Linked DNA regions of Macaca mulatta. The protein of the gene in region 1 interacts with the protein of each later gene in a pairwise test. Links are inferred from orthologs where the notes say so. Each region holds a gene or a part of one and is shown in the gene's direction. Other genes may lie near its edges.

Evidence for each region.
Region 2: the proteins of CRX (region 1) and M1AP interact in binary tests that used the Homo sapiens proteins (3 or more experiments, as listed by UniProt). The two-hybrid records come from large-scale screens. The link is inferred for Macaca mulatta from reciprocal best matches to the Homo sapiens genes CRX and M1AP.
Region 3: the proteins of CRX (region 1) and LARP4 interact in binary tests that used the Homo sapiens proteins (3 or more experiments, as listed by UniProt). The two-hybrid records come from large-scale screens. The link is inferred for Macaca mulatta from reciprocal best matches to the Homo sapiens genes CRX and LARP4.
Region 4: the proteins of CRX (region 1) and BANP interact in binary tests that used the Homo sapiens proteins (3 or more experiments, as listed by UniProt). The two-hybrid records come from large-scale screens. The link is inferred for Macaca mulatta from reciprocal best matches to the Homo sapiens genes CRX and BANP.
Region 5: the proteins of CRX (region 1) and LONRF1 interact in binary tests that used the Homo sapiens proteins (3 or more experiments, as listed by UniProt). The two-hybrid records come from large-scale screens. The link is inferred for Macaca mulatta from reciprocal best matches to the Homo sapiens genes CRX and LONRF1.
Region 6: the proteins of CRX (region 1) and PPP1R16B interact in binary tests that used the Homo sapiens proteins (3 or more experiments, as listed by UniProt). The two-hybrid records come from large-scale screens. The link is inferred for Macaca mulatta from reciprocal best matches to the Homo sapiens genes CRX and PPP1R16B.

The regions. Positions count from the first base shown.
Region 1 is NC_133424.1:60,319,964-60,324,900, forward strand, and holds the end of CRX (cone-rod homeobox protein), read left to right. Parts: intron 1-2,906; coding exon 2,907-3,554; downstream 3,555-4,937. UniProt on the Homo sapiens protein: Transcription factor that binds and transactivates the sequence 5'-TAATC[CA]-3' which is found upstream of several photoreceptor-specific genes, including the opsin genes.
Region 2 is NC_133418.1:50,146,220-50,151,661, forward strand, and holds the start of M1AP (meiosis 1 arrest protein), read left to right. Parts: upstream 1-2,213; 5' UTR 2,214-2,236; intron 2,237-2,269; exon of another isoform or gene 2,270-2,562; intron 2,563-3,188; exon of another isoform or gene 3,189-3,321; intron 3,322-5,442. UniProt on the Homo sapiens protein: Required for meiosis I progression during spermatogenesis.
Region 3 is NC_133416.1:57,585,257-57,590,687, forward strand, and holds the start of LARP4 (la-related protein 4), read left to right. Parts: upstream 1-1,911; 5' UTR 1,912-2,053; coding exon 2,054-2,137; intron 2,138-2,195; exon of another isoform or gene 2,196-2,314; intron 2,315-2,956; exon of another isoform or gene 2,957-5,015; intron 5,016-5,240; exon of another isoform or gene 5,241-5,247; intron 5,248-5,431. UniProt on the Homo sapiens protein: RNA binding protein that binds to the poly-A tract of mRNA molecules. Associates with the 40S ribosomal subunit and with polysomes. Plays a role in the regulation of mRNA translation.
Region 4 is NC_133425.1:83,420,942-83,425,812, forward strand, and holds part of BANP (protein BANP), read left to right. Parts: intron 1-2,786; coding exon 2,787-2,923; intron 2,924-4,871. UniProt on the Homo sapiens protein: Controls V(D)J recombination during T-cell development by repressing T-cell receptor (TCR) beta enhancer function. Binds to scaffold/matrix attachment region beta (S/MARbeta), an ATC-rich DNA sequence located upstream of the TCR beta enhancer.
Region 5 is NC_133413.1:13,057,035-13,062,542, reverse strand, and holds the start of LONRF1 (LON peptidase N-terminal domain and RING finger protein 1), read left to right. Parts: upstream 1-1,812; 5' UTR 1,813-1,897; coding exon 1,898-2,618; intron 2,619-5,508.
Region 6 is NC_133415.1:91,777,421-91,782,291, forward strand, and holds part of PPP1R16B (protein phosphatase 1 regulatory inhibitor subunit 16B), read left to right. Parts: intron 1-429; coding exon 430-505; intron 506-1,272; coding exon 1,273-1,402; intron 1,403-1,494; coding exon 1,495-1,663; intron 1,664-4,871. UniProt on the Homo sapiens protein: Regulator of protein phosphatase 1 (PP1) that acts as a positive regulator of pulmonary endothelial cell (EC) barrier function. Involved in the regulation of the PI3K/AKT signaling pathway, angiogenesis and endothelial cell proliferation.

The DNA.
Region 1 (4,937 bases):
CGTATATGTGCCTACACACATGTGTATGATTGGAAGGATAAATGAAGTATGTGTGTTTATGTGATTGTATGTATGTATGATTAGATACATTAGTGCATAGCTATGTATGATGTTATGTGTGTACAATGTATGTGCCTATAATTGTATATTTGTATGTTCATATGATCATACGTTCATACAGTTTATGTAAGGTATCTCAGAGTCCGTTTATTTAGACTCTGTCTCTCCCAACTAGAATGTCAATTCCACTGATGGACCCTCAAGAGTAGCAGAAGATGGTTAATGCATGTTTGTTCATTGACTGAATAGACGGATGGATGGATGGGTGGGTGGATGCAGAGATGAATGTGTATGTGTGACTGTATATGTGTGTGTGCATGTATGACTGGAAGCATGGATGAGTGTATGTATGTGCATATATGAGTGTCTAGTGTGTATGATGGACGGATACATTTATATATGTGTGTTTGTATGAACGCATGTAGGTATGATTAGATAGATGACGAATGTATGCACGCATGATATATGTATACATGATGTATGTACACATGTACAATTGTATGTATACATGCATGCATGCATGATTGGATGGATGGATGGGTGTATTTATTTATTTATTTGAAACAGAGTCTCACTCTGTCGCCCAGGCTGGAATGGCACAATCTCGGCTCACTGCAACCTCCGCCTCCTGGCTTCAAGCAATTCTCCTGCCTCAGCCTCCTGCATAGCTGGAATTACAGGCACGCACCACCATACCGGGCTAATTTTTGTATTTTAATAGAGACAGGATTTCACCATGTTGGTCAGGCTGGTGTCGAACTCCTGACCTCATGATCCACCTGCTTCGGACTCCCAAAGTGCTGGGATTACAGATGTGAGCCACCGTGTCCGGCTGGATTGGTGTATTTATGTATATATGAGTGTATGCAGGTGTATGTGATTGGACAGATAAATAAAATGTGTGTGTTTGTGTGATTAGACATAGGTATGATTGGATAAATTAATGTGTATATGTGTACGATGTATGTGTATATGTGTACGATGTATGTGTGTATGATGTATGTGTGTATAATTGTATATTTGTATGCTTGTATAATCAGATGCATGGATGAATGTTCATATGATGTATGTATGATTAGATAGATCCATTAATGTGTGTATGATGTATGTGTGTATGATGTATGTACATATAATTATATGTATAAGACGAATGGATGAATCTACATATGATGTACATGTACAATTGTATGTATCATCAGATGGATAAGTGTATGTCTGATGTATGTATGATCAGATGGACTGGTGAATGTTTGTACAACATATACATGTGTGAGGTATATATGTATGATCAGATGGATGTCTACATAATGTATGTGTGTATGGTGTATGTATGTATAATTGTATGCATGTATGTTTGTATGCTGCAGGTATGATGTTACGTATATGTGCATATACACATGTGTATGATTGGAAGGATAAATGAAATATGTGTGTTTGTGTGATTGTATGTATGTATGGTTAGATTAGTGCATAGTTATGTATGATGTTATGTGTGTACAATGTATGTGCCTATAATTGGATATTTGTATGTTCATATGACCAGATGGATGAATACGTGTATGAAGTATGTATGATCAGATAGATGGATAAATGTATGCATGATGCATGCATGTATAGTGCATGCCTGTATAATTGTATGTGTGTATGTTTGTATTAGATGGATGGATGAATGCCTGTAGGGTATGATGTATGTATGCATGCATGCATGATTGGATGAATGGATGGGTTTATTTATGTATATATGAGTGTATGCACGTATATATAATTAGATGGATAAATGAAATATGTGTTTGTATGATCGTATGTATGGATTAATGTGTATATATGTATGATGTATGTGTGTACAATGTATGTATGTATAATTGTATATCTGTATGATCAGATGGATGGATGAATATGTGTATGATGTATGTATGTATGATCAGATGCTCCATTAATGCATGTATGATGTATGTGTGTATAATGTATTTATGTACACTTGCATGTATGACAGATGGACCAGGGAATGTATGCATGATGTATATGTGTATGATGTATGTATGTATGATCAGACAGATGGGTAAATGTAGGCATGACGCATCTGTGTATGGTGTATTTATGTATAATTGTACATGTGTGTGTTTGTATTAGATGGATGAATATGTGTATGATGTATGTATGATCATGTAGATGGGCAAATGTAGGCATGATGTATGTGCGTATGGTGTATGTATGTATAACTGTACGTGTGCATGTTTGTATTAGATGGGTGGATGAATACGTGTATGGTGTATGTATGTATGATCAGATGGCTCCATTAATGCATGTATGACGTATGTGTGTATGATGTATGTATGTACACTTGCATGTATGATCAGATGGACCAGGGAATGTATGTATGATGTATATGTGTGTGATGTATGCATGTGTGATCAGATAGATGGGTAAATGTAGGCATGATGTATATGTGTATGGTGTATGCATGTATAATTGTACGTGTGCATGTTTGTATTAGATGGGTGGATGAATATGTGTATGATGTATGTATGATCATATAGATGGGTAAATGTAGGCATGATGTATGTGCTTATGGTGTATGTATGCATAATGGTATGTGTGCATGTTTGTATTAGATGGATGGATGAATGCCTGTAGGTATGACGTATGTTTGTGTTCATGCACACACGCAGGTATGATTGGATGGATAGATGGATGGATGGATGAATAGATGCCCCACAGCTGGATGCAAAGTAGAGAGATGTGACCTCAGCACCTTTCACCAACAAGGGTCCTCATCCCTGAGCACCCTGCGGCTCTCCTGGGCCTCTTCCCCACTTACCTACCCCCATCTCCCCTCTTACCCTCAGGTTTGGTTCAAGAACCGCAGGGCTAAATGCAGGCAGCAGCGGCAGCAGCAGAAACAGCAGCAGCAGCCCCCAGGGGGCCAGGTCAAGGCCCGGCCTGCCAAGAGGAAGGCAGGCACGTCCCCAAGACCCTCCACGGATGTTTGTCCAGACCCTCTGGGCATCTCAGATTCCTACAGTCCCCCTCTGCCCGGCCCCTCAGGCTCCCCAACCCCGGCAGTGGCCACTGTGTCCATCTGGAGCCCAGCATCAGAGTCCCCTTTGCCTGAGGCGCAGAGGGCTGGGCTGGTGGCCTCGGGGCCGTCTCTGACCTCGGCCCCCTATGCCATGACCTATGCCCCGGCCTCTGCTTTCTGCTCTTCCCCCTCCGCCTATGGGTCTCCGAGCTCCTATTTCAGTGGCCTAGACCCCTACCTTTCTCCCATGGTGCCCCAGTTAGGGGGCCCAGCTCTTAGCCCCCTCTCTGGCCCCTCGGTGGGACCTTCCCTGGCCCAGTCCCCCACCTCCCTATCAGGCCAGAGCTATGGCGCCTACAGTCCCGTGGATAGCTTGGAATTCAAGGACCCCACGGGCACCTGGAAATTCACCTACAATCCCATGGACCCTCTGGACTACAAGGATCAGAGTGCCTGGAAGTTTCAGATCTTGTAGAGGACGCAGTCTCCATCTCTCCCCGTCGGGCCTCGGGACCCTTTCTTTTCCGAATCTGCTTCCCTGCAGCTTAGATCCCGGGACGGCATCCCTGAGAAAGCAACCGGAACCAGCTGTCCTTCCGACAGCCGTGGTCTCCGCGGTTCCGTGTTCAGCTTACAGAGCCCACCCCTTTCCTCCACAGGGAGAGGCTCCTCCCTCTCCCGGGACAGTTCACAGGTCCTAGTGATTCTCTCAACCCCAACACCGTCTGGCGCGACTGTGACCGCGGAAGTACACCACGAGCTCCAGGCTTCAGAAAGTGGTGCTGAGAACTTGCTCCAAGAAGAAATCAAACCAAACTTGCAGTTGATTTGGGGTCATGTTTAGGTCAGAATCACCATGCCCTTGAACAAGCAGGTAGAGGGGCTTGATTCCTTAACTTTCCACGTGGACACTTTTCTTTGAGACTCGGAGTCTCGCTCTGTCGCCCAGGCTGGAGTGCAGTGGTGCGATCTCAGCTCACTGCAACCTTCGCCTCTTGGGTTCTGGCGATGCTCCTGCCTCAACCTCTCAAGTAGCTGGGATTACAGGTGTGCTCCACCACACCCAGCTAGTTTTTTGTATTGTTAGTAGAAACGGGGTTTCAGCATGTTGGCCAGGCTGGTCTCGAACCCCTGACCTCAAGTGATCCGCCCGCCTCAGCCTCCCAAAGTGCTGGGATTACAGGCGTGAGCCACGGTGCCCCGCCCTACATGTGGACACTTCTTTAGCATATGGTTAAGGACCTTTCTAGAAATTCCAAAGACAGACTTTAAGAAGCCCCATCGGGAAACCTTAGGCCAATGATGCAGTTACATTAAAAATAAATCATCTGGGAATTTTACAGACTTCACAAATGTCAGGCTTACCTGGTAGGTTTAGGGGGCTGTTTGAGAGACAAAGATCTATATTCATATATGTAGCTATACATATATGTCCTTTTTCTTCTTAGTTTCTTTAAAAAGACATTTTATCACTCATTTGCTCATTAGCATATTGGGAATGTGTATATTTGGTAGGGAAATGAAACGCAGCTTGCCTGTTGCATCTCTACTCCTTTCTTCTTTTGTTGTAGGATTTTCTAAAGGTGAGACACTGGTGGAATTGGGGTAGCTGCATGGGACGTACCACCTATAGTTATGGCTATTTCACAGAGAAGAAGCAACTGGACAGCCTCCCATCTGTAAATAAACATGAGACAGGAAGAGGGGGACATAGATTTGGAGGAGGCACTCCTACATTTCGAAAATACATTTCCTTTTTTAGATTTTTTTTTTTTTTTTTTTGGTGTTCAGTTTCGATGGTGGGATTGGAAAATAGAGCTTGACTTGAGGACATTTTCCTGGGGTGGCACCATTATTT
Region 2 (5,442 bases), on another chromosome or scaffold:
CCCAATCCATTCCTTTTAAGTCAGGAAAGGCAGGGAGAACGTTCTCTCCAGTACACAAATCAGATCATGTCACTCTTCTGCTTAAACACTTCAGTTTATCTCCCCATTCTAGCCCACTCCATTTTTGCTATGAGATAAGATCCAAAGTCTTTAATATAGTCCACAGATCGTATATGTTCTGGCCCTTTGCCTAACTCTACTGCTTCATCTTTGCCACTCCTCTTCCACATACTATACTCCAGACTGGAGTATAGTTCAGCAAGACTGTTGGGAGATCATCAAGCCAATGTTGGCCATTAGAGGAGTGCTGTGTGAGGACTGCATTGTTTCCCAGGAATGGGTCTGCCTCAGTATCTCGACCACATTCAGTCAGTGGCTGGGAAGAGGGCCTCCATGGAAATGTGGCAGTAGATTTCTAAGGCAGCAGCTGATGCCCTTGGTCAGTTACACTCCTTGTAGTTTAAAGTCTGCAAGGTGCTTTCTCATGACCATTATAGTTTGTCACCCTCAGAAAACAATTCTTATGTCATAGTCTCCATTTCTGGTACAGTTCTTTGCATATTTTTAATAAATGCTATAGAGGGTACAGAAAGAAATTAATAGTAGGTAAGAGCAATAGGTGGTATGGTTTGGAGTGAGGCTAGTGCTCAAGTTTGAATGTGTCCTCCAAAGTTCATTTGCTGGAAACTTAATACCCAATGGAACAGTGTTCAGAGGTAGGGCCTAATAAGAGGTGATTAGGTCATAAGGGCTCTACCCCCATAAATGGATTAATGTCATTATCTTGGAAGTAAGTTAGTTACTGAAAGGGTGGGTTTGTTGTAAAAGTGAGTTCAGCTCCCTGTTGCTGTCTTGCTCTTTTGTACTCCCTTACCCTTCTGCTTTCTGCCATGGGATGACACAGAAAGAATGCCCTCACTAGATGTGGGATTCTCAACCTTGGATTCCTACCCTCCAGAATTTAAGAATACATTTCCTTTATTTATAAATTACTTGTTCTGTGGTATTCTGGCATAGCAACACAAAGGGGAGTAAGACAGTTAATGTTGGGGTTGAGCCTAGTAAGGTAGGTGGGGTCAGTTATAATGGACCCTTTAACCGAAAAGGAAACATAAGCCGTTTTTAAGACAAAGAATATGATCAAAATATTTTTACAAGGACAATTCTAACATCAGTGGAAAGGATAATCTGGAGATTAGAGACAGGAAGGCTAATTTGGACTATATGGGGGGAAAGAGCGATTGAGAAGCTACCCTTTCAACAGAAACACAGGAACTCTCTTGTATATCAGATTATAGTGTTTAAAAAAGGACACAAGTTAAATAGTTCTGTTCTTACCCTGAGGAACAGTTGATAGGAGCAAAATTGTTTAGTGGGGCTAGAATACAAGCAGGTGACTCTTTTCCTGTTGAAACATGTAACCTATCCTGTGCCATTCATTGAAATACTGTCCCACCCCACCTCCAACCTGCATCTAGGCAATGAACTGAGAAAATAATAATAATAAAGAAAACAAGGAAAACTGCTTGTACATTTCTAGCTTGGAAGTAGCATTCTCTTTCCCTCTCCTGTGGACTAATTCAGAGAATTCCTTTTTAACCAGACAGAGTTGAAGACCCAGACCAACCAACTGTTAAGGACCAGGACGCTCCTACCCCATCTGGAGTTCGTCAAAGGGACTATGGGAATCAACCTCAAATAAGCGAGAATGAATATGAAGACAGGGACAGACCCTCTTGGAATACAGGAGTTTGAAAAGACTTTAAAAAACTTTCTGAAGGTAGCCTATAACTTCCATGAGGGCAGGGACCATCGTCTGTACATCCACTGTACTCCAGTCCTAGCACAGTGCACGGCACGTAATGTGCCCACCACAGATGTTTAGTGAACAAAATAGCGACTAGCTGAAGGAAATGATGTGGAAGGGAAAAGTTAAAACAAATAACACGGTCGGTGGGGGCGCTACTGGGATGTTTCAGGGAGGGAAGTGGTAGAAAAAATGTCAGGTTTAGCACAGTATTTCCAACAAATAGACAAAATTCTACCTAAGGGACAAAGAATGACTGTTCTCAGGGCGTCTAGGGACTTGGAGACCGTTTTCCTGAAGCGTCACCTGAAGCGCACCCTGAGGCGGCCGGGCCCCGCCTTGCCCGCAGTAAGACTCCCACCCAGCCGCGCGGGCCTGACGGGGGCGCCTCCGAACGCGCAGGCGCACGCTGAGAGCCGGGAGGACCAGGTGAGGAGGCTTCAGCCTTCCGAAGACAGGGCCCCTTCTCCACGCCTCGGGGAGGGAGGGCAGCTGAGGGCAGCCGAGAGCAGCTGGCACCACTTCGCAGGCTGGGCGTGGGCCGAGCTCTGGCCAGTCCTCAGGCAGGTGTTGGCTGCGTGGGCCGTGGCGAGTGCTGGGGCAGGACTGACGCCCAGAGAGAGGCTCCGAAATCGCTGTCGGGTCATCCCTCCGCATACTGTTTTGGGCGGCCAGGCCTGCGCGGAGTCTGGGCCCGGAGCTTCCTCCGCGGGACCCCCAGGCCCGAGGGCCGGGCTGCTGATCCGTCAGGCACGGTAGGCCCCATGCCGAGGGACCACGAGGATTCAGGGGGCCACGATAATTTTTTTTTTTTCTTCTGGTTTTGCTTTGTTTTTGAGGCGGAGTTTCACTCTTGTCGCCCAGGCTGGAGTGCAATGGCGTGATCTCGGCTCACTGCAACCTCCGCCTCCTGGGTTCAAGCGATTCTCCTGCCTCAGCCTCCTGAGTAGCTGGAATTACAGGCTCCCGCCACCACGCCCTGCTAGTTTTTAATATTTTTAGTAGAGACGTGGTTTCACTATGTTGGCCAGGCTGGTCTCGAACTCCTGACCTCGTGATCCGCCCGCCTAGGCCTCCCAAAGTGCTGGGATTACAGGCGTGAGCCACCGCGCCCGGCCACGAGAATGTTTTCATTTCGTTTAAAGTGAACTCGTAAAGTCAAATAAAGTGTTTTGATTTTTTTCTCACATCAGGAGGGGAAAATGAGATTTTTAGGGCCTACAAAATCCATTAACTTCTTTTAATCTTTTTTTAATGGAGGAAAGGGCCCACGAAATCTTTAATGGGGCCCTGCCATAGGGAGAACCATTGAATCATTTATCACGTGACAAAGTGAACGAGGGCATGTAAAGGGGCCCTAACCTAGAAAGCTCAGCACGGAACAGAACATCCACCGAGGGAGACACAGCGAGAGGCCGATCTGTGAGAGGTGGATCTCCCGGGTTGCGGGCAGGGGAGGGCCTGGCGTGAGGATGGAGATTTGGGCAGAAGGCACAAGCAACTTTAGGGCCAGGGTAAAGAATTTGGATTTTGTTTCCAGTGGTGTAATTGGAAGTCCTTGGAGAGTTTTTAGTTTGGGTGTAACTTGGTGGTTTTGGGTGGTTCAAGGCCCAGTTCCAGTTTTAACCAGTTTGCAGGGAGAAATCATTAAGCGAGTGTTCTTGGCGAAAGTGGAGAGTGTAGGGTCAAAATAAGGTCAGATCCTGTTTAGTACTATGCCCAGACACATCAGATGCATGAATTGATGATGTTTGAGGATGTAAGGAAGACAGCTGCCTCTTACCTCATTTAAAATACAGTCTTCCAATTGCACATTAGTGTGGGATTGAAAAATGACTGCAAGCTGAAACCATTCAAAGAGATCTTAAACACCAATGGGAAAAATTACAGTCGTTCTATAACCTTGAAAAATTGTCAAAACACTAAAACTTTCTTACTAAGTGTATAGGGAAATGTAAAACAGTAAAACTTTCATACACTAACTTAAAACATTAGAAACATTGAAAGCTAAAGTGTTTTCTTGAAAAAAAACTTATCAAGAGTAGTTTGGGCCGGGCGCGGTGGCTCAAGCCTGTAATCCCAGCACTCTGGGAGGCCGAGGCGGGCGGATCACGAGGTCAGGAGATCGAGACCATCCTGGCTAACACGGTGAAACCCCGTCTCTACTAAAAAAAATACAAAAAACTAGCCGGGCAAGGTGGCGGGCGCCTGTAGTCCCAGCTATTCGGGAGGCTGAGGCAGGAGAATGGCGTAAACCCGGGAGGCGGAGCTTGCAGTGAGCTGAGATCCGGCCACTGCACTCCAGCCCGGGCGACAGAGCGAGACTCCGTCTCAAAAAAAAAAAAAAAGAGTATTTTGAACAGTACTTGTTTTCTTCTCATAGTAAAACTTGTGAGAGCAAACATTTTTTGTGTGTCTTGGCAAACTGTCATACTTCTAAGTTTGGGTCAATTTCCTACATTTTATCCTTTGTACCTTCAATTTTGTAAAATATCTCTGAAAGTTTCTTTAATAATGAAGCTTTTTGCCAGTGACCCTTTCTGTAGGACGTCTTCATCCTTTTCATCACAATGACTTTCCTCAAGTATGTTGATAAGTTTGCCTTCTCGAAATTCCTCTGGCTGCTTCTCTAGAGTCTATCAAATGGAGGCAGTGTCAACACTCTCATAGTCAGCTGTTTCTCCTTTAACTCCACTTATGTTAGATTCAGATTTCACTCTCAGCATTATCATTTTTTATTTCTTTGCTGCTCTTTTTATTGGCTAATTTCCTCCTTCAATTTTCATTTTTGTAAAACATCACGTGGGCTTATCACTAGGAGACAAGGAGGTGACACAACTATGCACTTTGCTGTCTGCGCTTTAACCGAATAACGGATCTGCAGTGACCAGTCACCAAAAGACTTTGAAAGAAGTGATGTAATTAATTACTGATCATGATGCACTGATCACTATATTATATCAGTACACGATATCAGTATACTATACTATTGATACTGATAACTATGTAATAATTTGTGAACTGAAGAGCTAGATACTACTTTATGTAATTACAGTTAATATTCCATGGTAACTGAAATTTGAACTGTGTTGTTGGAGAACTGGTGTTAATTAACTAAACTGTAGTAACTGAAATCTATATACTGGAACCATGCAAAATGAGGACTGCCTCTACTTTAAAATGGCATTTTCAGAAGTGAGAGATGGAGATGGTTAATTAAATTTAATTATACATTAAATAAGGCCTCTAACTGCCTATTTGTGTGAATTTCTCTGTGTCAGCTTCAAGTTCAGCATTCCATGTAGAAATTGGCCCCATGTACTTAAAGTACAGTTTAAAAATATGTTATGTGCTTTCTTGGTAAATACATTAGTAATTGATTTGGATTTCTGGTTCAAGATAACTTTCAACAGATTAGCATATTCATTCATTTATTTTTCTAGCTGTATCCAACACATAATTGGAACTCAGTTTTTAAAAATGTTGAATGAACAAATGCTGACTTCCGCCATTCAAAAAGGGAAGTTTGAAGTGAATAACTTCACAAATTCATCTGGGGAAATACATCTATCTATGTATTCTTAGATCATTTTTAAAGATTCTAAATTCCAAAGTGTTTCTGAAAATTATCGTAA
Region 3 (5,431 bases), on another chromosome or scaffold:
TTAGGGTGGGTCTGAGATAACAGCTATCAGCAATTTGGTGGTGGAATTAATGTGGTATCTGAGGAGATTCCATTTGCGGCAAAGCAAGGAAGATTTCATGAGATCAGAATGGCAAAGTCTTGAAATCAAGTTAACAGTGGTTTGGTGAAAATGAGACCTTTACTTGAGGAAGATTTTTAAAATAATATAATGGAAAAATCCATTGGAAAAGATCAAGCATGATTATTTCATATTTATTTATTATTATTATTTTTTAGAGACAGAGTCGCACTCTGTCACCCAGGCTTGAGTGCAGTGCCGTGATCTTGGCTCACTGCAACCTCTGCCTCCTGGGTTCTAGCAATTCTCCTGCTTCAGCCTCCCACGTAGCTGGGACTACAGGCACACACTGCCATGGCTGGCTGATTTTTTGTATTTTACTAGAGATGGGGTTTCACCGTGTTGCCCAGGCTGGTCTCAAACTCCTGACCTAAGGCAATCCACCCGCCTCGGCCTCCCAAAGTGCTAGGATTACAGGCATGAGCCACGGCGCCCGGCCAATTTTTATTCATTACCAAATGATTATTATTTTTGAGACAGAGTCTCACTCAGTTGCCCAGGCTGGAGTGCAGTGGCGCAATGTCGGTTCACTGTTATCTCTGCCTCCTGGGTTCAAGCAATTCTGCCTCAGCCTCCGGAGTAGCCGGGATTACAGGTGTGCACCATCACACCCGGCTAATTTTTGTATTTTTAGTAGAGACGGGGTTTTACCATGTTGGCCAGGCTGGTCTTGAACTCCTGACCTCAAGTGATCCGTCCGCCTCAGCCTTCCAAAGTGCTGGGATTGTAGGTGTGAGCCACCCCTCCCAGCCAATACATGATTATTTCAAAAGATGAGTGTTTGAACTAGGACGTAGACGTGGGAGTGGTAAGGGAGGGACATATTGCTAAAGATAAGGAATTTGGACCATCTAACAAATATTATAGATAATTTAAAAAATTTGTTTTTATTGTATTTCGTTTGAATTAATGACAGAATATCAAAGAAGAGACTATACAGATTAAGCGTTGTTACTAGTATATTAAGTGGAGATATGGGTAACTAATTCAAATGAGCCCAGGGCAAAGTTCTTTAAAGGTGTGTCAAAGCGAAACCCAACCTCCTAGAGGGCTCCTTCAACTGTAAAATGGGGATGATAATAATATTATTTATTGCATAAAATTGTTTTAAGATCAATTAACATAAAATGCTCAGTATAGTGCCAAGCACAATGTAAGCATTTAATATACAGTAACTGCTATTAACGTATTTACTACTATCATAGCTTTTTATAGCTTTTTTTTTTTTCTTGTCTACTTTTCTTCTGTGAGCCACCAGTTTTCGGCAGGGTTGGACGTTTGTTCAGCACACGTCGCCAAGGTCGGCTTTAAAAATCAAATCTAGATTGTGAACTATGAAAACTGCGGAATTATCAGTGCTGTGTAGCTATCTGACAAGTGATAAAATGTGTCATTAAGATTTTTACACATCCCCGTGCCCCAGAATGGCATCTCCTGCTAATCGTCCCCCCCGCGACAGATGATAGTACATCCCACACTGTTGCTAGAAAAGATGGTGCAAAAGTTGAGCGCGTCGACGACTCTTTTCTGCCGGAAACAATTTTTCCCTAGACCCGGAAGCAGTTGTTGTTTCAAGGGAGGTGGGACTGGGCGGGTCAGGCCGCAGCCGCTGACGGCGGGGGAGGAGCCGGGTCCACTGCCGGGTGGAGGGGCAAGGCGAGTGTGTGTCCTTATCCTAGCAATTGGGGCGCGGGCCTGTGAGCCAGTTGGAGTTGCGGCGGCGGGAACGATTGGGCCGAGCAGAGGACGACATGTTGCTTTTCGTGGAGGTGAGTGGATTTGCTAGTCTCGTCCTGCTCTTAGGAGAGCAGGAGTGTAGAGGCGCCGGCCGGTCCCACCGCCATGTGACTTTCCGGGCCGTACACGCCGCGGAACCGGCAGATAGGCTGACACAGCACCTGGGCCGAGCAGGCCTGCAGCTTCCCTCTGCGCGCTCACAACACTCTAGGAAGCTATGGGAGGTGATGCCCGTAATGGAGAAGAATTGAAGGAGAAGAACGGAGGGCTGGTCTGGTGTGGCGTGAGGTTCAGAGGAGGGGTAAAGTGTCCCATATGGACCTCCTAAAGGAGACGGCATTGGGGGGTTGGGGGGCGGAGTCTGAGAGGAGAGGGTAATCAGGTGGGCGCGTTCCGGGGGCCGAGCGCGGCCTCGCGGGGCCCTCTGGGAGGGAGGCGAGCAACATGTGGGGCCACGGATGGAGGAAGGTGAAATGCGGTAAGTGTTTTGAAAAGAAAATTGAAAAAGTTCTTTGAGCAACCTCCACCAAATTCTGCCCGGGCCCCGTCCCTAGGTCTCTGGAACGTTCTGTGGGTGAAAGCGAGTTACTTTGAATCGAGGAGAAGCCAGTAGGGTTTGGAAGCCTTGAAAGGCACCGCTTTGACCTTTTGTAAAAGTTACTCAAGCAGCAACTGCGTGATGAAGGGTTGGTTCTATGAACCGATTAAAAGCCCTTTACAAGGAAAATTCCAAGAAGGAGAGAAACTTATTCCGGGAAAAGCCGGTGTTTGTAATGTTATTTGAACAATGAGATACTTTTATTACTTAAACTAGAACATCTGCTGTTGGCCTATTTAGTTTTCAAGATAGAGTTGGAGACCTGCCTTACAGAAATACGAAATTTAATTTCCCTTCATTCTGTCCTCTTGTGTGCAGTAAGCGTCAGCTGACTGCCTGGCTAATGCTTTGAGTAGATTCCAGATCATATTGTTCTTACATTGTGAAAACGTCAAACCAGCAAAGCTGCAACTTCGCAACTTGGCGTTTGTTAACTATGCCCATAAAAATAATCTTTTCAATGAGGGAAGGAATTTACAGGTTGTATAATGGGTCTAGGAGCCGGGGCCAGCCTATGGCAGATTTTTTTTTTTTCCGGGTTGTGGGAAAATTTTTATTATTTTATTTTTTAATTTTTCGACTTTTTTTTTTTTAAATTATACTTTAAGTTCTAGGGTACATGTGCACAACGTGCAGGTTTGTTACATATGTATACACGTGCCATGTTGGTGTGCTGCACCCATTAACTCGTCATTTACATTAGGTATATCTCCTAATGCTATCCCTCCCCCCTCCCCCCGTGGGAAAATCTTAATCCATAATGTTCCAGCATAAAGTAAATAAATGATTTTAGGTTTTTTTTTCTGTTTAACTGACATTGTGTCGCCGATAAGCTTGACATCTTTAGTGTTTTAAAAGACTGCTACATTAGAGTATATCTAACATTAATAATAATCATTCATTGGAACATCCGGGGAAATCATGAAAAGATTTAAAATTACTGAACTCATTCTGTTTACTGTTTTCTATCCTCATTGTTGTTTTCCTTAGGCAGAATAAGAAATCAGATAGGATTTTAAGACATTGCCGGCCACTTTGTTTTAGGAATGTTATGCTATGTAAATACCACAGGTTTTAAGTGTGTGTTTTGCTGAGCGGAAGAAAGATTGTGGAGTTTATATTGACGGGAGCTCCACAATATACTTTTGACTTCCAAATTGATTCCTTTGGCTTTATTAAAATGTAAGTTTTAATAACAGCCCCATTTATTGTTTAAATTAGGTCCTCTCCTGTCTCTAAAGCAATACTTAAAATATTCTACAGATGACAAAACCGAGCCCCAGAAGTTAAAGTAACTTTACTTAGTAAAAGTAAAGTAGTGTAACTGGGATTTAGATCCAGGTGTTGCTGATGTCAAATCATGGACGGGATGTTAGCAGTTCAGGCCTGTCCAACTCCCCAGGTTAGACAAATTCTACCATATCTCTGCCAAACTATTATTTAAAAGTTGTATCTCCATTAATCATTTTCTTTGTGAATTACTATGTCGTTCTTCATTTTCTCATATGAGTTTTATTGAAAATTCGCTGTCTTTAAATATTTGGGGCTGAATATGTGGTTTTAAAATCAGTGACAAACAACATATTGGTCATTTGACGTTTTGTTAACTAGTATTTGATCCCAGTAACCTCATGATAGAGGAATTATTCTCAGTGAGAGAACCAAAGCTCAGAAGTTAGATATCTAAGGTCATTCAAGTGTAAATAATGTGGGGGTTAAAGTCTGAAGTCTGGCTTCTAGAACATAAATTTCTGGCTCCAAAATTATTTTTGCACTTTCCCATAAGTCAAAGGTTCTGAATCTAGGTTTTTGGATAGAATTGAGGAAGTAAGTACCTGAGCTTGGTTGGGGAAAAAAAATTGTTTATTTTCACTAGTTTCTAACTGAAATCTAAATGGAAAAGAAGTGAAAATTCTTTAAATGTTAATGGCAGCAACAGTGTCTGTGACCTTGTCACCAAGACAAATCACTTTTTAACATATATTACAGTTTTTGCAGATATCTTGAAATATTTATGCTCATTACTTGCTATATGTCAAAAATATTGTTATTTAACGTATTGCTATATTAGACATTTTAAAATATTTTGACAACTGTGTTTCAATATAATTAGTTTACTTTGTGATCCTATATATTTTAGAAATTTAAAAAAACTCTGAGAAGGGATCCATAGATTAATTGGACTACTGAAGAGGTCTTTGTCACAAAAGAGGTTAAGAACTGCTTTACTAACCAAGTTGCTTGTGGATCATCTTTGGCAGGATTAATCTGGGATCCCTGGGTCCTCTGCAATTGTGTTCAATACCGTTTACTAATGTGTATTTTTCTGGAGAGATTCCAGCTTAACTATCCCACTAGAATCAGTAGAATAGATAATAGCAATATAACAATAATAACAGTAGTAGTACATACTTGTATTGTACTTTGTGTCAGGAACGTTTGATGTTTTTGTATATATAGATATCTGTACATCTTAAGTCTCAATATCTCTATGAGGTGTTAGTATCCCCATTTTAGTGATAAGGAAACTAAGGCAGCCAGGCACAGTGGCTCATGCCTGTAATCCCAGCACTTTGGAAGACTGAGGTGGGCGGCGGATCACCTGAGGTCAGGAGTTTGAGACCAGCCTGGCCAACATGGTGAAACCCCATCTCTACTAAAAATACAAAAATTAGCCAGATGTGGTGGCACACACCTGTAATCCCAGCTACATGGGAGGCTAAGGTAGGAGAATCGCTTGAACCTGGGAGGCAGAGGTTGCAGTGAGCTGAGATGGTGCCACTGTATTCCAGCCTGGACAACAGAGTGAGACTGTCTCAAAAAAAAGAAACTAAGGCACAGAGAATTTAAACTTGCCTAAGTTTTTACACAGTTAGTGAACGTGGAAGCTTGAACTCATCAACCACCTACTTATATTGGAGTAGAATATATTGCAGACAAGGAATCCTATGTAAATAATACTTAGATGCAAGTTTTTAAAACCTGGCCTTGGGCCCA
Region 4 (4,871 bases), on another chromosome or scaffold:
TGCACTAGCAGGCCACGCCCACCGGCGGCTAACCTATCCCAGAGTAAAGGCGGAGCTTAAAACAGCCGTCACTGCACTAGCAGGCCACGCCCCCCAGCGACTAACCTATCCCAGAGTAAAGGCGGAGCTTAAAACAGCCTGAGAAAGATCACACTGAACCACAAGTAACAACAATTTTAAAAGAAAGACAACAAAACCTAGACATCCAACAAAGTAAAATTCACCATCTCCAGTATCCAGTCAAAAGTACCAGGAAGCAGGAAATTGTGACCTGTGATCAGAAAATCAGAAGATAGGAAGGGACCCTGTCTGGAATTAACTGACCGGGACATTGAAATTTATTAAATATAGGAAGGGACCCTGGCTGGGATTAACTGACCGGGACATTGAAATTTATTAAAATTACATTCAAGAATTTAAAGGAAAAAAGGAACATAGCAAGGAGAGAAATAGAAGACATCAGAAAGAACCGTAAGGAACTCCTAGACTTGAAAAGCGAGGAGAGTGGTTTCCAGGCTTGCCTGCCATGTGTTTCGGGTACGTGCACTTGCTAAGGTTAGCGGTCTGTTTCATCCAATGGGGAATCAAAACCTAAGTTAAATTACTTGCCAGGACCTTAGTAAGCAAGAAGCGGTTGTTATATAACCTGACGACTGCCAGATATGTTGGCCTGCGTCATTAGGATACTAAAATCTTGAAAGGGTAAATTTAATGAGCTGAAATTTCATAGCTGAAAATGTAGACTCAAAGCATTTGCACAGGAGTAGACGGTGGTGGAGCAGCGTGTGAAGCAGAGTGTTTTCCTGGCTGCGCCGGTGTGCAGGACCTTCCTCGGAGCCCGTGCAGTTGGAAGGTGCACTCTGGAGCACACCCATTCTTAGCTTGTCTGCCCTGTGGCCCCGGTGGGGCGTTTTGGAGCCGCTGGGAGGAGCGCTCCAGGGACTGTCAAGGTGGCAGTGGGCTGGAAACCGTTGTCTTTGCGGAAACAGTTAGAAATTGAGATTTCACAAGGTTTGATAATGGTTAGATGCCTGGAGAAGCAGCGCATCAGTGAAGAATTAGGCTGGTTTTGTAGGTGCCGAGAGGGTCAGTGGAGGAGCAGTAGGTCCGCGGAGGTGGGCTTCAGCCCAACTGGGATTTCGTCATTTTCTTCCTGGGGTCCACAAGGCTTGCTGGAGGACCTATGGTGCTAAGTGCTCTGTAACTGCTCAGGCAGACAGGAACGCACTGTGGAGCGTGCAGCACTGCCTGGGGGTGGTTGCTTTGGGACATCACCCACATCTGGAGGTGCTCAGGTGGAGTCAGGGTCTTTGGCTGGAGCCGAGCTCTCCACGTTCAACATGCAGGAGGACCACCTTCGAATCTCATGAAATTCAGATTCTGATTTAGTGTAGCCGGGCAATTTCTAGCATATTGCAAGTATCAACATTTTATTATGTGACTGGGCACAGTAGCTCATATCTGTAATCCCTAGCTCATATCTGTAATCCCAGCACTTTGGGAGGCTGAGGCAGGTGGATCATTTGAGGACAGGAGTTTTAAACCAGCCAGGCCAACCTGGTGAAATCCCTTTTCTACAAAAAATACAAAAAAATTTAGCTGGGCATCGTGGTGGGTGGCTGTAATCGCAACTACTTGGAAGGCTGAGGCAAGAGAATCACTTGAACCCAGGAGGCAGAGGTTGCAGTGAGCCAAGATCACGCCACTACACTCCAGCCTAGGTGACAGAGCGAGACTGTCTCAAAAAAAAAAAAAAAAAAAAAAAGCCAACATTTTATTGTTACTTTAAAAAATGTTTTCAGTGGAATCTATGTACTATGGCAATTTAATACCTCCCATTAGCTATTGGTAAAAAATACATGGAAAGTTTTTCTTTTCTCTCCTCCCCTTTCCCCTCCCCCCCTCCTCGCTCTGTTGCCTGGAGCTAAGTGTAATGGTATGATCTTGCCTCACTGAAACCTCCGACTCCCAGGTTCAAGTGATTGTCCAACCTCAGCTTCCCAAGTAGCTGGGACTACAGGCGTGTGCCACCACACCTGGCTAATTTTTGTATTTTTAGTAGAGACAGAGTTTTACCATGTTGGGTAGGCTGGTCTTGAACTCCTGACCTCAGGTGATCTGCCTGCCTTAGCCTCACAAGGTGCTGGGATTACAGGTGTGAGCCACTGTGCCCGGCCCTTCTTACTACATTTTTATGCTTAAAAGTTTTTTTTAATTAGTTATTATAATTCTCTGCAACAAAGCTACATGTATACATTGAAAATTAAAAAGTTTTTCTGTGCTCTTAATACTCTAAGTGTTTAAGAAAATTAAGATTGAGACATGATTACAGTGAAAATTAATACACAGTACATCAAAGCAAATGTATCTCATTTTGATTAAACACAGCAAGTAAAATTTGTCGGAAATGTACCTTTAAGTGTATGGATGAGGCTTTTGTCCTATTAGTTTAATTCCCCATGGACAAACATTGCCAGCACAGCTTTTAATGTCCACTTGAAGAACTTTATTCATTTAAAGAAGTTGGGACTGGAAGGGGTTTTGTCACAGCAACATCACTCCACTCTCAGGCGCTTCTGCGTTCCATGTTGGAAGCCTCAGTTCCTTAGACTCACTCGTAGCGATCTCTGCAGAAGAGTGGAGACGCAGCGAGTCGAGGAAAAATGAAGCATTTCCTCTTCTCTGCTGTGGGAGTCAAGAGGGAGGGACAGGGGTGCACACATGCCGCAAGAGGCAATGCCTAAGACACTTCTCGTTCACCCCGTTCACACCTGTCGCCCCCACAGAGCCGATGATGAGCACCCCACCTCCCGCCAGTGAGCTCCCGCAGCCACAGCCGCAGCCGCAGGCCCTGCACTACGCGCTGGCCAACGCTCAGCAGGTGCAGATCCACCAGATCGGAGAAGACGGACAGGTGCAAGTAGTACGTACCCTCTCCACCTAGCACCTTGGGAAAGGGGGCTGCAGGGCGGGCCACGGCAGGGCCATGGCGGCCTCCACCGGTTCCACTGTTTCGGAAGCACAGTGATAGCTTGGGAGGAGGCACGAGGTCCCCGTTTAAAGTAGAGGTTGTCATAGCCATGCGCTCTTAACATTTCACAGGTGGGGGGCGGCTGCTGCAGAGCCTGGGGATTGAAGCACATGGTGGAGTGGGTGCCCAGCTCACCTTAGTCCTGCCAGCAGTCAGGCGGGCAGTCAGCTGCGAGGGTTAGGCCGTGCGGTGGTGCCTGTCCCAGCTCATGCTCCTGGGAAGCATCAGAAATATTTCTCAGTTCAGAAGCGCAGGTGCCCTCTCACTGAGGGAAAGAGTCATTTCCTTCTAGGATCAGTGGCAAAAGCTTGAGGTCATTGTTCCCATCAGCGTTTGCCTTGGAGTTACTCAGCACACCTGGGTTGGGCGGGCACTGCCCCAGCAGTGAGTCAATGTCCTGCCTTGCCCGTGCAGAGTTCTCTGTTGGGGTTTTGTGGCCCAAGCTGTGGTCAGCCTGATGAGCTCGGGGCTGACTCCCAGGTGAAGTCCCTCTACAGACACCTCCTGGATTCTGTGGCGCAAGAGTAGGGGGTGGCTGAGAAGGAAGGAAGACTTTTCTGGAAGCTTTGCTGGGTGACTAGGAATTTTACATGTACCAGTAGACATCGCTGATGTCTTTAGTGGCACCAGCACCCTTGGGACCTCTGAAGACAGAGGTCATTGTGTGCCTACGTGTCGCCCGGGCTTTCTCCTGGAAACAAGGTCCTTCGCTGTTGAGAGTGGGGCGTGGCTCTCATCTCAGTGTGGCTTCAGCACGCTGTCTGGAAGAGGGAAGGCTTCCAGAAAATTCTGGGGCTTTTAGAGGGGGCATTACCCTTCCTCTTCCAAAGGAGATGAGACAGTTATGAATAGTGAGTCTTATTTAATAAGCTTATTAATTTGTTTGACATTCACAACGTCAGTTCCTCTCATCTTGTTAGTAAGAAGTTCTTTGAAAGAGTTCCAGAGTAGATAACTTTGCCATAAGGCTTACAAAGAACATTCTACAGGAGTTTAAGATCCATTTTGACTAAGAGATAATTTCAAATAAGATAAGGAGTATTCATTTATAGGTTTATAGGAATTATTTGTCTGCCTGTATGTATAAACATTGGATTCTTTGACTTTTTTTTTTTTGAATCACATTTATTAATGTTTACTCAAACTGTTTAAATAGTTATATGAGTGTTTCTTTGATTTGAAAAACGTTGCCTGCCCTGTTGTGAGTGTAGGCACGTGAATAGCTCCCCTGCTCCAGCCACAAGCTCCATGCGTAGCCTCCCAGCTTTCCCAGAGAGCTGAACGTATCATTTGGAAAGAGGTGTCATTCTGATTTTCTGTTTCCCCTCTTTTCTATGTGTCAGGCACATTTTAAAATTTACTTGTTTAGTAACATGTAAAGATGTAAATATCTTTCCTGGGACCTATTGCTCCTTTGTGAAGTACTGGAAGATGTTTTGTGTATATTACACAGTAGCCCCCCCTTACCCATGCCTCCACTTTCCCAGGTTTTAATTACCCATGGTCAACTGTGATCTGAAAATATTAGATGAGAAATTCCAGAAATAAACAATTTGTAAGTTTCAGATTGCATATTCTTCTGGGTAGTAGTATGATGAAATCTGGTCGTCCTGCTCTGTCCCATCCAGGACTGAGTCCTTCCTTTGTCCAGCATGTCCAAGCTGTGTGGCACGTATGGGCAGGAGAAAGCATAGCATATACGGGGTTCAGCACCATCCACGGTTTCTGGTGTCCACATAGTGGGGGGAGGGGTGCTTCTTGAAACAAAACCCTCATGGATGAGGGGGACTGCTGTGAACCAAAAGCTTAATTTAAAGAGGTGACCACAGACTGTATTGCA
Region 5 (5,508 bases), on another chromosome or scaffold:
AAATCCCGTAATAGAACCCGACTTTATATTTGAAAAGAAGTTTATGAGTGTTTATTAATTTATTATGCTCCTTGTAATAAACATGAACACATTATTTACTATTGTACATTTTGCAAGTTGCCATTAAGAACAAGAATGCATTACAAAAATGAATGTGCGTGTACACATGGATATTTGTTATATTATTTGTGATTTCAAGTCTCAAGGGAGTATGTGGACATCAGATGAAAGTCACTGTTCTGCTTGTTGAGGGAAGGTAGTAATTTCGGGGGTTAGGATTGGATTTAAGGTTATCTCATGACTTAATCCCAGTGCTTCCCACGCCAAATGCTGAGGAGGTGCTCCTTGGATCTAGCTGCAATTTGCTTCAGGTGCAATGTGAATGATAAATGAACTTGTTTCTGTCTGCATCCTGTTGGAACAGGAGGCTTGGCTTTTTCTCAAGCACCTCTTTTTTATTCATTCCCTTTAGGGTAATATATCTCTATCTTTTCTGACGTTACACGACTTGCTCATTGTGTAGTGAAAACACATTAACTCAAAACATTTTTTAGCCTTAATTGCCGTTCCTTATAAAGAGAAATATTAAACTTATACCATTTTCAGACATACTATGCTCAGGTGAACTTTCCAATTAGCAACTTCCTTTACTTTGACAATCTATTTCTATGAAATATTACTATTATTTTATTAAATATTATATATGATCAGTCTAACGTAGTAACATAATAGTGGAATAGACGTGATCTTAAAATCTATATTAGCTGTGTGATTTTTGACAAATAACTTTCCCTCTGTTTCCCATCATTTGAAAAAGGACTAAAAGTTCTAAGTGACTCCTAACATTAACAATCTAATACCCTATAATCAAATCTATAAATATTTTCAGCGGAGAGCTTTAAACTTGCCGCTGTGAAGTTTAAGGGAAATAGCACCTATTATATATCAACCCCATCATTTTCTTCTGTTGGCAAAACTGCAGACCCTGCTTGGGTTGTAGTAATACGGTGACCGCCACGTGAACAACATTTTTCTCGGTGTTTTCTTTTAAATATGCCAACTATAGACTTTAACCAGCTGTAAGGCAGTGCCTGAGGTGTGGAGACACCTGAGGAACTGTGTGGGCTTTCTCCCTCGAGGTGGGCCTACGATGAGTTTTAAGCAAAGGGCAGCAGTCACCTGGCACCAGGAAAAACTCCTTGCCCTCTGGAGGGAGTCGCCCCAGGAACGTGGGTTTTGTGTTCCTGTTTCAAGTTGAGTCCTCTAGAACCGAAGAGTCCCAGTCATCTGCCGAAGGTGCCCTCCCAGGCCCCCTGCTTGGGAGCGCCCACCTGGAACCTGGGCATAGAGGAATGAAAATGCAGACCCGCACAAGCGTGAGGACACGCCGGGAGACCCCCGCCCGCCAGGAGTTGGGGCAGGTCCGGCTTGGGCGGGGGCGTCGGGGGAGGGGTGGTGACCCTGAGTCCCGCGCGGCAAGGGCGCGGGCCACCGCAGGTGGGGGCGTCGGCGAGCAGGCAAGCGGGGACGGAGACTCTGGGCTCCATCGGGCTTTGTTCCGTCACGAGCCGAGCCCTCCTTTCCGGAGAAGCCAATTAGATCTCCGACGGAGGAATCATCCGACCTGCGCCCCCGCCGGGAGGGGGCTCGGGAGGGGCGGGGCCCAGCGCTTGGCTCCTCGCGAGCGCGGCCGCGGGCTGCGTGGGGGAGTCCCGGCGCCGTCGCCGAGCCCGGCCCCGCCCTCGCCAGGCCCCGCCCTCGGGGCTTCCCGGGCGCGCGCCGCCCCGCCGTGTCCGCGCGCCACGCCCCCCTGCTCGCGGGCCGCGTGCGGAGCCGCGCGCCCGGGAGGCTCCCGGACCGTGGCGGCGGGCGGCGGCAGCGCAGCCCTCCGCGGGCCATGTCCTCTCCGGCGGTGGCGAGGAGTTCCCCGGGAGGGAGTCGGGAGATGGCCCCGGCGCCGCAGGGCCGAGGCCGGTTCTGGGAAGTGGGCGGCGGCAGCGGCCTTCGGCTGGAGCGCGCGGCCGCGGAGTCGGAGCGCTGGGAACTGCTGCTCCGCCGCGGGGAGCTGCTGGCGCTGGGCGGCCACCTGAAGGGCGCGCTGGAGGCGTTCGCGGCGGCGCTGCGCCGCGGGGCCCCGGCCAGGCCCGAGTGCCTGGGCGCCCTGGTGGACTGCCTGGTGTTCAACTACCGGCTCCGCCACGGGCTGAGCTGGAGCGCGGCCCCGGCTGCGGGCGCGGACGGCGGCGCCTGCGGGCTCCTCAGATGCCTGGGCTGCCGGGGCTTCCTGAGCGAGCCGGTGACCGTGCCCTGTGGCCACAGCTACTGCCGCCGCTGCCTGCGGAGGGAACTCCGCGCCCGCTGCCGCCTCTGCCGGGACCGGCTGCCGCCCGCCACCGCCAGTGCCACTGATGCTGAAGGGACCGCCCCGCGGCCGCCGCCTCTGGCAGCCGCCATCGCCGCCTCAGACTTCAGAACCAGCGTCGTCCTCAACCACCTGGCCGAGAAGTGGTTCCCGGGCCAGCGCGAGCGGGCCCGGGCGGCTGGCAGACTCGGGGAGCTGCTACACCAGGGGCGCTACCGGGAGGCCCTGGCCGCCGCCTGCGAGGCGCTGCGAGCAGGTGACCGCGCGGGGATGCGGCGGGGCCGGGCCGACCGCACCCTCCTGGCCCCGAGGGCCGGGGACCCGGAGCTTGTCTGCGTCCCGGGAGTCTCCTCTGCTTCCCCGGGGCCGCTGGGCCACTGGCGTGTTGGGTCTCGGGGTGCTGGGGGGTGTGGGAGGGGGCGGCGCCCCGGGGTGCTTCGGTCACAATGGGGATCGCCCTGGGAGCCGACTGTGACGCAGCGCGGGGAGGGGCGCTCGGCGCGGGGTTCCCTCGGCCGCGGCCTGGCCGTCGGGCGCGCGCTCCGGGCGCGGAGTGGGTGACCGGAGCCGTGGGTGCCCCGGCGCGGGATGGGTGGGAGCTGGGCTATCCCGAGCGGCCGCTCGCTTCCTGCCGCGCGCTTTCCGGGAATTGACTCTCTCGCGCCAGGCCCGCCGCGGGGAAACGACTGCCGGGGTGGGGAGAGAATCCCCCACGAGGACAACTAGGCCGGGAAGGCGGCGTCTCCCTTCCTCACCCACAAAAGTCACCGGGACAATTGGGAGCCGCGGGAGGGCAGAATTGCATAAGCTGGGGGCGGGGGTCGTTGTGTAACGGGTGACGTCCGGTGGGCGTGGCGGGAGCTCCGGGCGGGCACCCGGCCCCGGGAGGCCCCGCAGGCCGCCGGGCTTGGGGCGCGGGGCGGAGCTGCCCCGGGTGGTCCCTTGCTACCTGGAAATGCCTGAACTGGTTTCTCTCGAAAGTTTCAGCCGGCCTGTTTCAGATCATGCTTATTTCCTATGTACTTTGCAGTGCACCTAGCTTATGGTAAAGATGAGAGGGGCTTCCTGATCCAGAGTTCTTTGCCACGCTTCTCTTGGCCGTTCCACTTAGGATCAAGCTGTGGGGAAAGGCCTTGTAGGTCTTGAGTGCATTTCTTAGTCTCCAAGAAGCAGCCTCGGCCTCCTAACCTAGGTTAGCTAGCACTTTCTTCTTAAGGTGGTTTTAGGCGCTGAAAGGGGGCAGTGTCAAGCTTCTCTTATGTAAAAGGAAGAGTTGTTCTTTAAATCAGTAGTTCTTTACCAGCAGGATTTACCTCCCCTCTCTCAGGGGACATTATCTAGAGCAATATCTGGAGACATTTTTGGTTGCCACCTCTTGTGGGGGTGGTGCTGGTACCGACATCTAGTGGGAGAGGCCCGGGGTGCTGCTCAGACATCCTATGAGGCACAGCAGGATTCCCACAACAAAGAATTATCAGGCCCCAAGTGCCACTGTTGATAAACCTTGTGTTACGCGTATTTCAAGATTTTAGTGTCTATCCATTGGCATGATAGTTGGGGGAATGGCATGATAGTTGGGGGATAGTTGGGGGAATAATCCCCAAGAAAATAGACATCTAGAATAGCAGCTGACTTTAGGTATTACAGGTAAATTTATAGACTGTGTAACTGAAAGGATCATCTTTCGGGTCATCTTTTGTCCCAAGTGCTTAGTCATATTGAACTTACGTCAAGATCTTGCATTGTTTAATATCTTCAGAGTTCGAAGCACAAACACCGGAGATTTTTGTATTCTTTCAGTGCCTTTATGAGGAGTAGGCAGTTATAAAATAGAAAGATAGGCTCAGAACAAAAGAAAAGTGTTTGGAACACAGAATTCTGATACGGATGACTCTGTCCCTCTGGGTGAATAAAGAGAAGAGAAACTGGACTCAGCTGTACAGACCATCTAGTAACTGACCATGGTATGATTTTTAAAGCAAAGAAGCAGATGCCAGGCAGTGAAGACTTGCGCACAGTCACAGTGTTAACTGGTTGAGAGGCAGCGCTGTATCTTCCACTTCCCCTAAACGTTGGTCTAGGGTTCATCCTGCCTTATAGCTTATCTGATGAAAATGTTTATTATACATATCCAAAGAAGTTTTTTTGGTCACTGAGGCTGAAACTTATGGACAGTACTACTGATACAGTGATTCGACCTTAAATTAGGTGTTTCACAAGAATCCAGGTCCTGGGCCATGGAAGAACAGTGAACATATTTGCTAATTGAGGTCTAGCTTAACATTTTGTGACCAATAATAATTAACAGAGATTTTGGTTCTTGTATCGAGGATGTTATGTTTAACAGGAAAAGGCTCTGAAAGATGTAATCTCTGCTTTTTACAAGCTGCATAGATTGCACGTGGGGATTTTGTGCACTTAGCAACTTAATTCTACTCTTGCAGGAATAGAACCCACGTCTTCTGACTTTCACTTCATTAGCTAATTTTTTCCTCATTTTTAGTTCTTTCAAGAATCATTAATTCCATACTTGAAAATGTCCGAATGGCACGAATGAGGATAAGTTTTTTAAATCTTTTGAATTATTAATGTGAAGTAAAATGGGAAAAAAATCTCAGAGCTATTAGAGTTGGTAAAGGGCCGATTTATAAGTGTTTCACAATTTATGGGTGTAAATCAAAATGTTAACGAGTGCAGTCATAATCCATTTGTATGATCGTTAGGCTTTAACTTCTTTGGAATTGGCAAGTTAGGCATTTGACATGTATTTATATAACTGTACAGTTGTAGTTATTAATGACCCTGTCATTATTGATAATGAAAAAAAGATCTTCACTATAATTTTTTTCATGTAATTCTTATAATGAAACAAATAAATACTATTAACTAGAAAAAATCTAGTCTGCAGTTAGCCCACACACATCCAAACTTATCTCTGCCAGCAGCAAAAGAAAGCTTGAAAACCTTTGCCAAAATCAGAAGTTTCCCATTTAGATTACATAAGTTTCTGTTGAATTGAAATATATTTAGATAACATTTAAACCATTGATCTTTTGGTATTAACTCTCAGATGTTTCATAACTTTCTGTCTTTTTAGTATTCAAGGATATTATGTAAAGTTTTTTCTGCACTGAATCTCTGTACTT
Region 6 (4,871 bases), on another chromosome or scaffold:
GCCCGCCTCAACCTCCCAAAGTGCTGGGATTACAGGCGTGAGCCACCGTGCCCGGCTGACAAGTTGTGTTCTAATAGGATGGTAATCAGATTTGCCAAATAAGAAAATTTCCAGCATTTTTGCCCCCAGTAGTTTCTCCATTTGTTTCCAGACACAAAACTCTGATTGTCACTTATACCTAGTCCCTCCTTAGATACCTGCCAGCTCTAGAGTTACAGCCAACTCTTTCTTCTCCCTCTTCTTGGTGTGGCCCAGGCATTGCATCTGTCTGGATTCCCCCCATGGCTCTAGCATGCAGGCCTTCCCTGGAAATCAACTTTGTCCCACCATTCTTTGGGTCACATCCTAAGAGGTCTTGGACACTCTCTCCACCTCCTAGGCTTTCTGAGCTCTGGGCAGGGGGACACTGAGCTTCTTCCTGTGTTTCAGATGCAGATGGCAGAGCTATTGGTGTCCCATGGAGCTAGTCTCAGTGCAAGGACATCCATGGATGAGATGCCAATAGGTGAGTCCAGCACAACAGCTGGTGTGCACAAATAGACAGTTATCAATTTTTTGATGGGTAGAGGGAGAAATAGATAAATATATGGTTGTATAGACTGATGGATTGGTGTATAGATAGACAGATGGATTAATTAATGGATGGTAGATGAATGGACAGATGGACAGATGAAGGGATAGATGGATAAATGGATGAATGGATGGATGAGAGGGGTACATGGGTAGATATTATGAGGTATGGTTGACTGGATGGGTGGGTGGGTGGATGGATGGATGAATAGATAGAAGAATAAGTGGATGAGTGGGTAAAGGATGAATCTGAATAGATGGCTCTTTCAGCAGTGGGTAGATAGCTGGATGAAGGGGTTAAGTAGAATAGATAGGAGTATGTAGCTTTCTTAGCATTTTTGCATAATTTATTGCTTGGGCTATGTGGGGTACCTGCTTATTTCCCTCATTACTTCTGTCAATGAAGACTTGAGGACTCTTCTTGGAGACTATCAAAGAGGAACATGAATCCCTCGGTCATAGCTGGGAACCTTAGGAATTGTGACTGTGCCCAGAACCTGGGTTTCCCATTCTTATAATCCTCTAAGGTTTGGGTTGCAGCCCAGGAACTTAGGCTGGCATTGTTTGCTTCCCTCCCTGCATGCCCCAAAAGATGCTTGGAGTTTTCATTGGGTTGGGGTGGTAGCTCGTCTGGTCTGGAGCACCCTCTTGGGCCACAGGTCCTGGCCCTGTCCCCCACAACAGACTCCTCTGCCCCTTCAGACCTGTGCGAGGAGGAAGAGTTCAAGGTCCTGCTGCTGGAGCTAAAACACAAGCATGACGTGATCATGAAGTCACAGCTGAGGCACAAGTCATCCTTGAGCCGGAGGACATCCAGCGCAGGCAGCCGTGGGTGAGTCCAGGGCAGGGCAGCCAAGGGTCCCCGTGCGTGCTCCTGCCTGTGGCGCCTGGGTGCAGCCTCCAGCACCCACTTTGTCCTCTCAGGAAGGTGGTGCGTCGAGCCAGCCTGTCGGACAGGACCAACCTGTACAGAAAGGAGTATGAGGGAGAGGCCATCCTGTGGCAGCAGCGGAGTGCAGCCGAGGATCAGCGGACCTCCACCTACAACGGGGACATCAGGGAGACCAGGACAGACCAAGAGAATAAGGACCCTGTGAGTGGCCTCACTCTCTGCCCCAGTGTCAGCCACTGCAATGGGAGGAGAACAGGGCCAAGCCTGGCCTTGCCTCTTCAACTGAGAGCCTTCAGAGGGAAGTAGCCAGGCACTGCCCTTAAACTAGCATATCCAGTCTGATGGTGGTGGCTACTGTAGTTCAGCCAGCAGTTTCAGTCTGATGCTGGTGGCTGCTGTAGTTAAAGAGGTGATCAGGGAGCGTGTTAGAGGCTGAGCTGGGTGCTTTGGCACACAGGTGCGTCTCCTAATTGACAGGGGGTGAGTGTCCGCTATGTGCCTAGCTATGCTCCAGCACACCTAGCAGTAGGCTTCCCAGAAGAGAGCTTCAATAGGGCAGTCACCCAGGAGCTGAGGGAGCTACAACTTCTTTTTCAGGAAATATAACAAGATATTGAGAATTGTGTTTATCAGAACATGCTTTTTGAAAAATGGAGTAGGATCCTAGTAGGACCTCTGAGAAGCCTGCTCCTGTAGCAGCCAATGGTCCTTTAAGCTTTAAGCTGCTTTCCTAAGGGAACACATATTCATTTCTGGTGGTTGCTTTGAGAAATTTTCACAAACTGGATGGCTTAACACGGTGGAAATTTATTCTGTCTCCGTTCTGAAAGCCAGAAGTCTAAAATCAAGGTGACACAGCGTTGGTTCCCTCTGAGGGCTCTCAAGGAGATTCTGTTCCATAGCTCTGTGAGCTTCTGGTGGCTCAGGCATTCTTTGGCTTTTGCTAGCATGATTCTAGTCTCTGCTTCTATCGCCACATGACATTCTTCTTTGTGTGTGTGTGTGTGTATTTTCTCTTTTTATTTTTATTTTATTGGATTTTTTTTTTTTTTTTTTTTTGAGACAGGGTCTTGCTCTGTTACTCAGGCAATGGCATGATTATAGATCACTGAAGACTCCAACTCATGGGCTTAAGCGATCCTCCCACCTCAGCTTCCCAAGTAGCTGGGACTATAGGTGGGAGCCATCATGCCTGGCTAATTTTTAAATTTCTTGTAGAGATGAGGTCTTGCTATGTTGCCCAGGTTGGTCTCAAACTTAGCCTCAAGCAATCCTCCCACCTTGGCTTCCCAAAGTATCGAGATTACAGGTTTGAGCCACTGTACCTAGCCTGTTTTTTCCTCTTATAAGGACACCAGTCATTGGATTGGAGCCCATGCCAATCCAGTATGACCTAATCTTAATTTAATTTATTACACCTGCAAATACCTATTTCCAGATAAAGTCACATTTGGAGGTTCCAGGTAGACATGAATTTTTGAGGGACACTACTTAACCCAGAACCAACACACTCAGCATGGCTGCTTTATTGCTGAGTGGAGTGAACAAGTTTGGGGCTGGAGTGGAATTGCTGAGGACGAGGGAGAAGCTAACTGTACCAGAGGTGGTCTGCCATTTTTGTTCTTCCACCACACCATGAACAGATGAAAACATGCCTAGAGAGTTTAGCTTTGCTGGGATGCAATTGATTAGCTACCCAGCATGCCCACGTGTCTCAGAGGGACCCTGCTTCCCAGCATGAACAGTGAGGTCACCTACTGTCTGTCTCACCAGGAGGTGTGAAGGTGCCTGCCCAAGGGGAGGCCACATCAAAGCCACCAGCTGGTGATGGAGAGGGCACATAGGGAAGCTTTGTTCTGCCTGGCCCCTTAGTCTGAGGATTGGTGAGAAAAGAGACATAGATCAAGATCAAATCACATTTCAGATGTCTCCCAGCTGTGCTTTATTTATTTTTCCTTTGTGATTGTGGTGTAACTTAAGTATGGTAAAGCAGACAAACCTTTTTTTTTTTTTTTTTTAATGATATGGAGCCTTGCATGTTACCCAGGCTGGAGTGCAGTGGTGTGATTTCAGCTCACTGCAACCTCTGCCTCACGGGTTCAAGTGATCCTCCTGCCTCAGCCTCCCCAGTAGTTGGGATTACTAGTGCCCACCACGACACCTGCTGGATTTTTGTATTTTTAGTAGAGATGGGGTTTCACCACGTTGGCCAGGCTGGTTTTGAAGTTCTGACCTCAAACAATCCGCCCACCTGGACCTCCCAAAGTCTGGGCTTACAGATGTGAGCCACCATGCCTGGCCAAGTAGACAAATCTTAAATGAGATTTTCAACAAACTTTTACAAATGTACACACTCAGATGAATTCATAGAGCATTTTCATCATCCATGTTCTCTCTCTGTCGTTTCCCCCACTCCAAATGTAGCCACTATCTAACTTTGAGTTCTAAAGATTAGTTTTGTATATGCATATGAATAGACACTGTAGTTTGTCTTCTTTTATGTCTGGCTTTTTTAACATCTGTGAGAGTCACCCACGTTGTGGCATATAGCAGTAGTTCTGTTTTTGTTTTTTGTTTTTGTTTTTTTTTTTGAGACAGGAGTTCACTCTGTTGTCTGGGCTGGAGTTCAGTGGTGTGATCCTAGCTCACTGCAGCCTTGACCTCTCGGGATCAAGTGATCCTTCCACCTCAGCTTCTTGGGTAGCTGGGACTATAGGTATGCACCAACATGCCTGGCTAATTAAAAAAAATTTTTTTGGCCGGGTGCCGTGGCTCATGCCTGTAATCCCAGACTTTGGAAGGCCAAGGCGGGTGGATCACAAGGTCAAGAGATTGAGACCGGCCGGGCGCGGTGGCTCAAGCCTGTAATCCCAGCACTTTGGGAGGCCGAGACGGGCGGATCACGAGGTCAGGAGATCAAGACCATCCTGGCTAACACGGTGAAACCCCATCTCTACTAAAAAGTACAAAAAACTAGCCGGGTGAGGTGGCGGGCGCCTGTAGTCCCAGCTACTCAGGAGGCTGAGGCAGGAGAATGGCGTGAACCCGGGAGGCGGAGCTTGCAGTGAGCTGAGATCTGGCCACTGCACCCCAGCCTGGGCGACAGAGCGAGACTGCGTCTCAAAAAAAAAAAAAAAAAAAAAAAGAGATTGAGACCATCCTAGCCAACATGGTGAAACCCCGTCTCTACTAAAAATACAGAAATTAACTGGGCATAGTGGTGGGCACGTGTAATCCCAGCTACTCAGGAGGCTGAGGCAGGAGAATCCCTTGAACCCGGGAGGTGGAGGTTGCTGTGAGCCAAGATTGAGCCACCGCACTTCAGCCTGGGGACAGAGTGAGACTTTGTCTCAAAACAAAACAAAACAAAACAGAAAATTTTTTTTAGAGATAGAATCTTGCTATGTTA